2 linked regions of the Cricetulus griseus genome follow. Each later gene encodes a partner of the first gene's protein in a complex. Links are inferred from orthologs where the notes say so. Each region holds a gene or a part of one and is shown on either strand. Other genes may lie near its edges.

Region 1 (3,685 bases):
TCTGTAGCTATTTCTTGTACCATTATAACTTCTGAGCTCTTTTCATGTCTCTCTTGTGGAGCTCTGTTCTCTGGACATGGTATAGCCATTGCCATCTTGGATTCAAGGCAAGACAGCACTCACTAATGTTTCCTTGTGGAAATGTAAAAAGTGTGCAAGACTATATACAGGGCCCTACCTCTCCGTGAGGGTTTAGCTGTTGCTATAGGGGGTATTCTTTGGTGGTAAAATTGTCTCTAAATTGCCCATGCCTCTGTAGGCAGCCCTTTACCCATGCTCCTGTCTGTAACCCCAATTGTTCCCTTTTTGGATTTATTTATTTATTTTATTTTATATGTATGAGTGTTTCTGTTGAAGTGTGTATATGCATCACATGTGTGCTTTGTTCAGAAGAGAGCGTCAGATCCCCTGGAACTGGACTTATCTATTTGTAGGCCAACATGTGGGTGGGTGCTGGGAACTGAACCAGGTCTTCTGCAAGAACAAGTGCTCTTGCCTGGAAGTAGTGGTGCACACCTTTAATCCCAGTACTTGAAAGGCAGAGACGGATGAATTTCTGAGTTCGAGACCAGCCTAGTCTACAGAGTGAGTTCCAAGATGGCCAGGACTACACAGAGAAACCCTGTCTTGAAAAACAAAAAGCAACAATAACAAAACAACAATAAAAGAGCAAGTGCTCTTAACTTCTGTTTCATCCTTCCTGCCTCAGGAAGCCCAGTTAAACCCCCTGGTTCAAGAAGCTAGACTTGGGTGGATTCTTCTCTTCGGTCTGTCACTGTTGTCTTGTCTGGGGTGTGCAGAGGTTTGTTCACGTCTCCCTGGGGAAAGTTAACACACCAGCTTCACTTAATTGTTTCTCTTCACAAATACTTACAGTGCCCCCCATTAAAGAGAAAAACCTCTGATAATATTTTTCTAAGACCTTTAAAGTCTTTTTCTCAAATTAACTAAGGATTTTAGAGAAAGAAAATATTAAGAGCATCTGCTCTAGAGGAGTCTTTGATGAGGTTGTGCTTTTACAGCACACAGCAGCTTTCCACATTGTTTTACACAGAATCCGTGCTTAAGAAAGCTGCTCATATTGAATTGTACTGAGTATGACACTGTATAATGCCATTACAATTACAATAAGAACAGCTCAACCTTGGGCAAAACATCAGAGCTTCCTTATATATAAGAAAGTGGTTACTCATCTGTCACATATCAGTAACTCCCCTGCCAGTCATGCTGCTCTAAATAAATTCATTCTTATGCACTGGGTGTCCACTCACCTAGGCCCTGAGCTAGGTCTGAGAAACACAGAGATGGACAAGATGAAATCTGTCCCCTCACAGCCTATGGAGACAGCTGACTGGGGAAATCAGGTGGCCTGCACTTGCACAGGCCCAAATTCTCACTCCACATTCTGCTTTCCAAGGCTGGAGTGATGGGCTTATCTTGGCAAGCATGAAGAAACAGTCAGAGACTATCTCAACATAACAGCATGCAACAGAGGCATTCACTTGCCCCGTAGAAAGGCTCTGAAAGACTTTGACTCCTGCATCTAAACAGACTACTCTTCCTGGAAACAGTGCACTCGGCAGTGAAGCCCTGATCCTGGGGAAGCAGATATAGAAAGCCCAGCAAAGTGGGTGGGAGTTGAGAAGAGCAGGAAGGAGATTGCTGGATTCCTCTGGGGGGCGGATAGACAAGTTATCAGATTCCACAGTTGGCCTGTGGTGGGACTGTCCACCCTGACTGCATTGACAAGGCAGGGATGAAGAGAACAGGGGTTCCACGATTCAGGCTGCAGGGCAGGTGAAGGGGATCAAGAGACAGAATCTTCAGGGATCTGTGAGTTGTTCAGCAAGGTTGAGGCAAGGCTCTGTCCAAGGAAGCTGACCCCATGACAGTGATTTCCTATTAGGTGATCAGTTACCACAATTGCTTCTACCTGGGGCACATTTGGGGCTGGGAAGCACAGCTCAGTGTTGAGCAACGGAGTCTCCTCTGGGTGATGAGGGGGAAAAAAAAGTGTGGGATGAGTCATTTTCCTCAGGGGCACAGGTCTCAGGGGAGAGGCATTTGTAGTATTGGTCTTCCCCATCCAGCACTTTAATTTGTCTGCAAGAGAGAAAGGAGGATTTTCTTCTTTTTTTTTTTTTAATTTTATTCTTTTATTAGTTCAAATTAGGAACAAGCTTGCTTCAGATGTCAATCCCTTCTCTCTCTCCCTCCCCCACCCAACATCCCACCTGCCCCTAACCATCCCCCCTCTACTCCCCAGGCAGGGTAAGGCCCTCAAAAGGGGCTCCCCAAAGTCTACCACATCAAGAAAGGAGGATTTTCAACAGGAGATATCAAACAGATACCATGATCATCCCTGTTGAACCTAAAGTTGTAGGGGGAGGGAGTGGGTGTTGGATCAGGTCTACACCTTGATGAAGAAGATTTTCACTTTTCTGGGCCGAGGTAAGTAGTACCTAAAAGTTGTGGTCATATTGTAACTTGAGTTTTATATAGTCGTCTGTCTCCATCTGTGTCCTCTAGAAACAGTTCTGCTCCTGACCTCCCTCAGTTCAGAACAGTGCCAATACCCTTCTGGTCTCCACTGTGATGCCGACAAACGAAAGGACCAGGCACTCCTCATCATTCCTTGCAAGTGTGAAGCCCAAGGAAATATTAAACATGGAGAGAGTGCCTATTTACACGTGGGAAAGTGCTCTTGCTTGTGGAAGGAGAGTTTTGTACAACTCACAACCAGTCCCATTCCCATTCCTTGGCATGCTAAGGAGAAATAACATTTGTCTTAGGTGACAATTTCAACCTTTCTGGACAGAACGGATTCAAGTTTTGTGTGCTTGCTACTGTGAAAAAGAATTGCTGGTGCCAATAACCGTGGCAATATCCGCAGGGGGTGGGTGGGGGGACTATTTTTAGAAGGCTCCCTGGAAAGTTTGGCCTTTTCTGTGATATCACAAAGGACCCCTTCTGTTTACAGTTGCTGGAAACTAAGAAGACAGATATTTACCCAAGTTTTCTTGGCTTCCTCTGGCTCCCTTGATATTCTAGAGTTCCCTGTGGATAGGGCCAAGAACACACAGTCAAAGCAAAGCACCAAGTCGTTAATTTTTAATTCAAAGTGATTTTGTGTTGAATGCAAGCAGATGCTGATAATATCAGAAGTCACAGCATAATTTTTTTGATCAAAGGGCTCAAGTGAGCCTGATGAAGCATGCATCTTGCTCGTCTTTGATAAACCACATCAATTATTCACCGTGAAGGCAGACATCCTGACATGAAAGCAACAGATAAAGAGCCTAAGCACATGTTCACGAGGAGAGCAGAAGAGAGTGGGGGTGGGGCTGGAGGGGCTGGAACAGGTATTAATAACAGAATTATTAACTGGAAACAAAGCCGGTAAAACGGCTTTACGGCCACTTTGAACTCACGTTTAACTGGTTATAGTACATGGTGTCCTCAGGGCTACTCAACATTTTGGGCTGCTGACACCGTCTGCGAGGTGCTCGCTGCTTCTGGGAGAGCCCATCTTTTGAACCTGCGGACAAGGAAACTTCACTGCAAGCCTTGCTGGGAGATTGCTCTTCATGTAAATGTACTTGGTAGAAGCCCTGTCCGGTTTTAATGAAGCTTTGCTACTTCTAGGAGAAATGTCATCTCTCTCCTCTCTCTCTCTCTCTCTCTC
Region 2 (3,816 bases), on another chromosome or scaffold:
ATTGGCAGCTACCTCCTTGGCCACCTGTGCAGTATTGTGTGTGGTGTGTGATGTGCACAGACCCTTTCTATTCTGTTGCCTCCAAGGAATAAAGCACTGTTGTAGGCTGTGTTGGTGCCCCTCTCCCCGGATCATCATAGCCCCAAGTATGGAGCACACCACACCCCACCCCATTCCACTAAGAAAAGAGCAAGCATGGCCCAGCAGGTCCTCCATAGCAGATCCAGTGCAGCCTGGGTCTGCCTGAGATGTATCTGCCTAGAAATTCTGGAAGACAGACGTGGGGCCATGTAGCCACCTGCTTTGTGGGGAATCAGGACCCAGTAACTTTTCTGCATCTTCCTTTTTCCCTCCCTGTGATCTATCTGGCTTCACCTTTAGGATACTGGTCGGGTCACTGGTCGGGTCACTCAGAAGGCCCCTTCTGAGCAGGCCATCACCAAGTACCATTATCTGCACCATAGGAGGTCACCTAGAGGGTCTTAACGCATCCATATTCTGCTGTCCCTGAGTTCTCCATGTCTCCCGGGCTGGAAGTGCATGCCCCTGGCCTGCAAATCTCAGGCAAGCTGGTCCTGAAGCTGGCTGTGTGGTTGTGTTTTAGGAGGAAGAGCAGGAGGCTCGGCTGGCCAACCTGCCTGCCTGGAGGCGAGACATTCTTCGGAAGAAGCTGGAGGAGGAGCGGTGAGCACCTGGTGGAGGCTGCTTGGCGGGCGTGCATCTTGACTCTGGGGTTGTGATGCCATCTAATACTGTCTCTTTCTCATTCCAGGGAGCAGAAGCGGTAAGTATGGTACTGGCCCAAACCCGCTACTTCTTCCTACACCCAGTCACAGAGGCTTATCTCTTTTACTCCTTCATCCAGCCCATGCTTTCAGTCCCTGTACCATAAACTTTCAGTTCCCAATAGTGACATAGACCCTTAGTTGTTTAGCACCCACCCCTCAAAGTCTACTGCTCATGCTCTGATCACATTCTTAAGTTACCCAGGCCCTCCTCCGCCATCTTCTATCATTAAATCTTGCTTTCACCCACTGTGATGACAAACCTATAATCCCACTTAGTGGGTATAGGCAGGGTTAGGAGTTCAAGATTATCTTGGTTTAACAGTCAATTCAAGGCCAACCTGGCCTACAGGTGACATTGTCTCAAAACAAAAGCCTACCCTTGCTATCCTACAGTGCTGGTTTTTCTGTTTTAATTATGTGTATGTCAGCCAGGTGGCAGTGGCGCACACCTTTAGTACCAGCACTTGGGGAGGCAGAGGCAGGTGGATCTCTGTGAGTTCGAGGCCAGCCTGGTCTACCACAGTGAGTTCTAGGACAGCCAGGACTGTTACACAGAGAAGCCCTGCCTTGAAAAACAAACAAAAATTTTGTGTGTGTCTGCGTGTCTGTGTGTGGGTAAGTACACATGTGTGAAGGTGCCTATGGAGGCCAGAGGTGTCATATTCCCTTGGAGCTGGAGTTACAAGTGGTTATGAGCTACCCAGTGTGGGTGCTGGGAATCCAACCTGGGTCCTCTGCAGAGTAGTACACGATCTTAATTGATAAACCATCTCTCCAGCCCCAAGGACAGTTATTTTAACCAAAGATCAACAAACTTGATCATTTCCCCTCAACTTAATTTCTGTACCCAGGAATCTATCTACTGCCAGGCAGAAGTACAATGGGCAACACTTACATAATTTTAAATTTTGTGAGAAAATTTTATAAGATATAGGTAAGTTTAATTTTAATACTTTAACTTAATGTAGAAAATGTATTGAGAGTAATTATTAATGAGAGCTAGGCATTTGGCTCAGTCGGTGGAGTGCTTGCCCGGCATGCAAGAAAAAAAGAAGCTGCTGGGCATTGGTGGTGCACGCCTTTAATCCCAGCACTCGGAAGGCAGAGGCAGGTGGATCTCTGTGAGTTTGAGACTAGCCTGGTCTACAAGAGTTAGTTCCAGGATAGGCTCCAAAGCCACAGAGAAACCCTGTCTCGAAAAACAAACAAACAAACAAAAAAATCAGTCTCCAGTATTGCATAATTCTGGAGTCATGGGATTAGAGAGAGGGTTCAATAGTTAAAACACTTGTTGCTCTTCCAGAGGACTCAGGTTCAACTCCCAGTACCCACAAGGCAGCTCACAACCATCTGTAATTCCAGTTTTAGAGGATCAATGACTTCTTTCAGCCCCCTTCTGCACCGGGCATACATGTGATACACAGACATGGACACAGGCAAAATGCTTGTACACACTCAATTAAATGAAATTGAAAACAGAATAACAAACTCCCGCAGTGTTGGCACAGGCCTCTAATTCTAGCAAAGTTCAAACAGCCTTGTCAGCAAAGCCCCCCCCCTCTCTCATACACACACACACACACACACACACACACACACACACACACACACACACGACATTTTTCTTTCCCTTAAAAGAAAAAAAAAAAAAACCCAGTTAGGCAGTAGTGGTACACACCTTTAGTCCCAGCACTCAGGAGGTGGATCTCTGTGAGTTCAAGGCCAGCCTGGCCTACAGAGTGAGTGCCAGGACAGGCTTCAAAGCTACACAGAGAAACCCTGTCTCAAAAAAGAAAAGAAAGGAAAACACCAAGAAAAAAAAAAAAACTTGATTTTAAAAATACCATGTGCATGCCAATTTGAACAGTTTAATTGCTCAATAACGGAATATTATTAGTGGTGACCTGTCACCGAGTTGGGGCTCAAAGCTGAGTGTTCTAGGCAAGCACTCTACTGGGGAGCTATATCCCCAGTCCCTAGCCTTGTGTTCTGAGAAGCTGTCCCTAGCTAGCTTGCTGGCCTGTTCCCCAGTAATGAGATCCCCAATGGCTCAACACTATTCCCTGGTAATTTAGATTGAGGCTCCCTAACAACTCAAGTCCTGTCTCCAATGTCAGGCCTCCTGTCACTGATCCCCTCAACTCCTTAACATTCAATCCTCACACAGGGTCACCTAATGACCCAGCACCTCTTTCCTGTAACACTCCTCCGCAAAACAATCCAACTTCAGCCTCCACTTACCCATCTCTCCTGAGTAACCCTGCAACTCCAATACGACCCCATGAAAACCCTGGCTCCTAAGCAGAGAAGGCCCTGCTCTCATTAACTCCTCTGTCCCACTGCCATCCTGGTGTCTGGCCGGGCCCCAGTACCTGGCCTCAGGCATCACTGAGTTTTGCCACCCATAAACAGAAAAGAGGAGGAGCGACAAAAGCAGGAGGAAATACAGAAGGCGAAAGAACAGTCCGAGAAGCTGCGGACACTAGGCTACGATGAGGCCAAGCTCGCACCCTGGCAGCGACAGGTCATCTTGAAGAAGGGGGAGATCCCAAAGTAATAGGAGTCTCAGCCTTTTGCATGTGGCCTCACAAGTTCTGAGAGATGGGGACCGGTCCCCCAGCCCCCGCCCCATCCTGTCAGGTTGGTGCGGAAGGGCTGGGAGCCTTGCCACCCTTCCCTTCGGTGCCGGAACCCTCCCTGTTTCCCCTCCCTGGCCCCATATCCCCAGCCCTGCTGCTGGAGTGCTTGCGTACTGCTGTTGTCGCCTGGAAAAAAAGTGCCCAAGTCGCTGACGCAAAAAAAAGAAAGAAAAGAAAAAGAGCGAGAGAAAAAAAGACGCTGCTTATTTGCATGCTCACTTACATATATTTGCATGTTCGTCTGCCTTGCGCTGAGCTCTCCCCAGGCCCGTGGGTGGTGACTTTTCCTGCAGGGCGCAAGCCCGCCTGCAGCCCCCTCCCCCGCAGCCCGGAACCCACATTGCTAGCGCATCCTGGGTGGAGGCAGACCCCGAGCTCGGGGAAGGGGT

What was found.
Region 2: the proteins of Myo3b (region 1) and espin are in contact, whole or in part, in a crystal structure (PDB 5ET1), measured with the Mus musculus proteins. The link is inferred for Cricetulus griseus from reciprocal best matches to the Homo sapiens genes MYO3B and ESPN. Residues at the interface, in XP_017174528.1 of Mus musculus: Arg1223, Arg1224, Gln1226, Gln1227, Pro1228, Lys1229, Met1230, Leu1231, Ser1232, Ser1233, Asp1236, Thr1237, Met1238, Tyr1239, Tyr1240, Asn1241, Gln1242, Leu1243; in NP_997570.1 of Mus musculus: Leu35, Ala37, His41, Arg45, Ala67, Asn69, Ala71, His75, Asp76, Ala79, Thr80, Asp101, Ser103, Leu110, Arg113, Phe114, Thr135, Thr137, Ala139, His143, Tyr144, Ala147, Thr169, Asn171, Tyr177, Leu178, Gln181, Ala203, Asp205, Met207.

Annotation. Positions count from the first base shown.
Region 1 is NC_048599.1:104,748,975-104,752,659, forward strand, and holds the end of Myo3b (myosin-IIIb), read right to left. Parts: intron 3,539-3,685; coding exon 3,432-3,538; intron 3,058-3,431; coding exon 3,011-3,057; intron 2,104-3,010; coding exon 1,965-2,103; 3' UTR 1,934-1,964; intron 819-1,933; 3' UTR 617-818; downstream 1-616.
Region 2 is NC_048595.1:4,239,848-4,243,663, forward strand, and holds part of espin, read left to right. Parts: intron 1-604; coding exon 605-684; intron 685-772; coding exon 773-784; intron 785-3,200; coding exon 3,201-3,345; 3' UTR 3,346-3,816. UniProt on the Homo sapiens protein: Multifunctional actin-bundling protein. Plays a major role in regulating the organization, dimension, dynamics and signaling capacities of the actin filament-rich microvilli in the mechanosensory and chemosensory cells.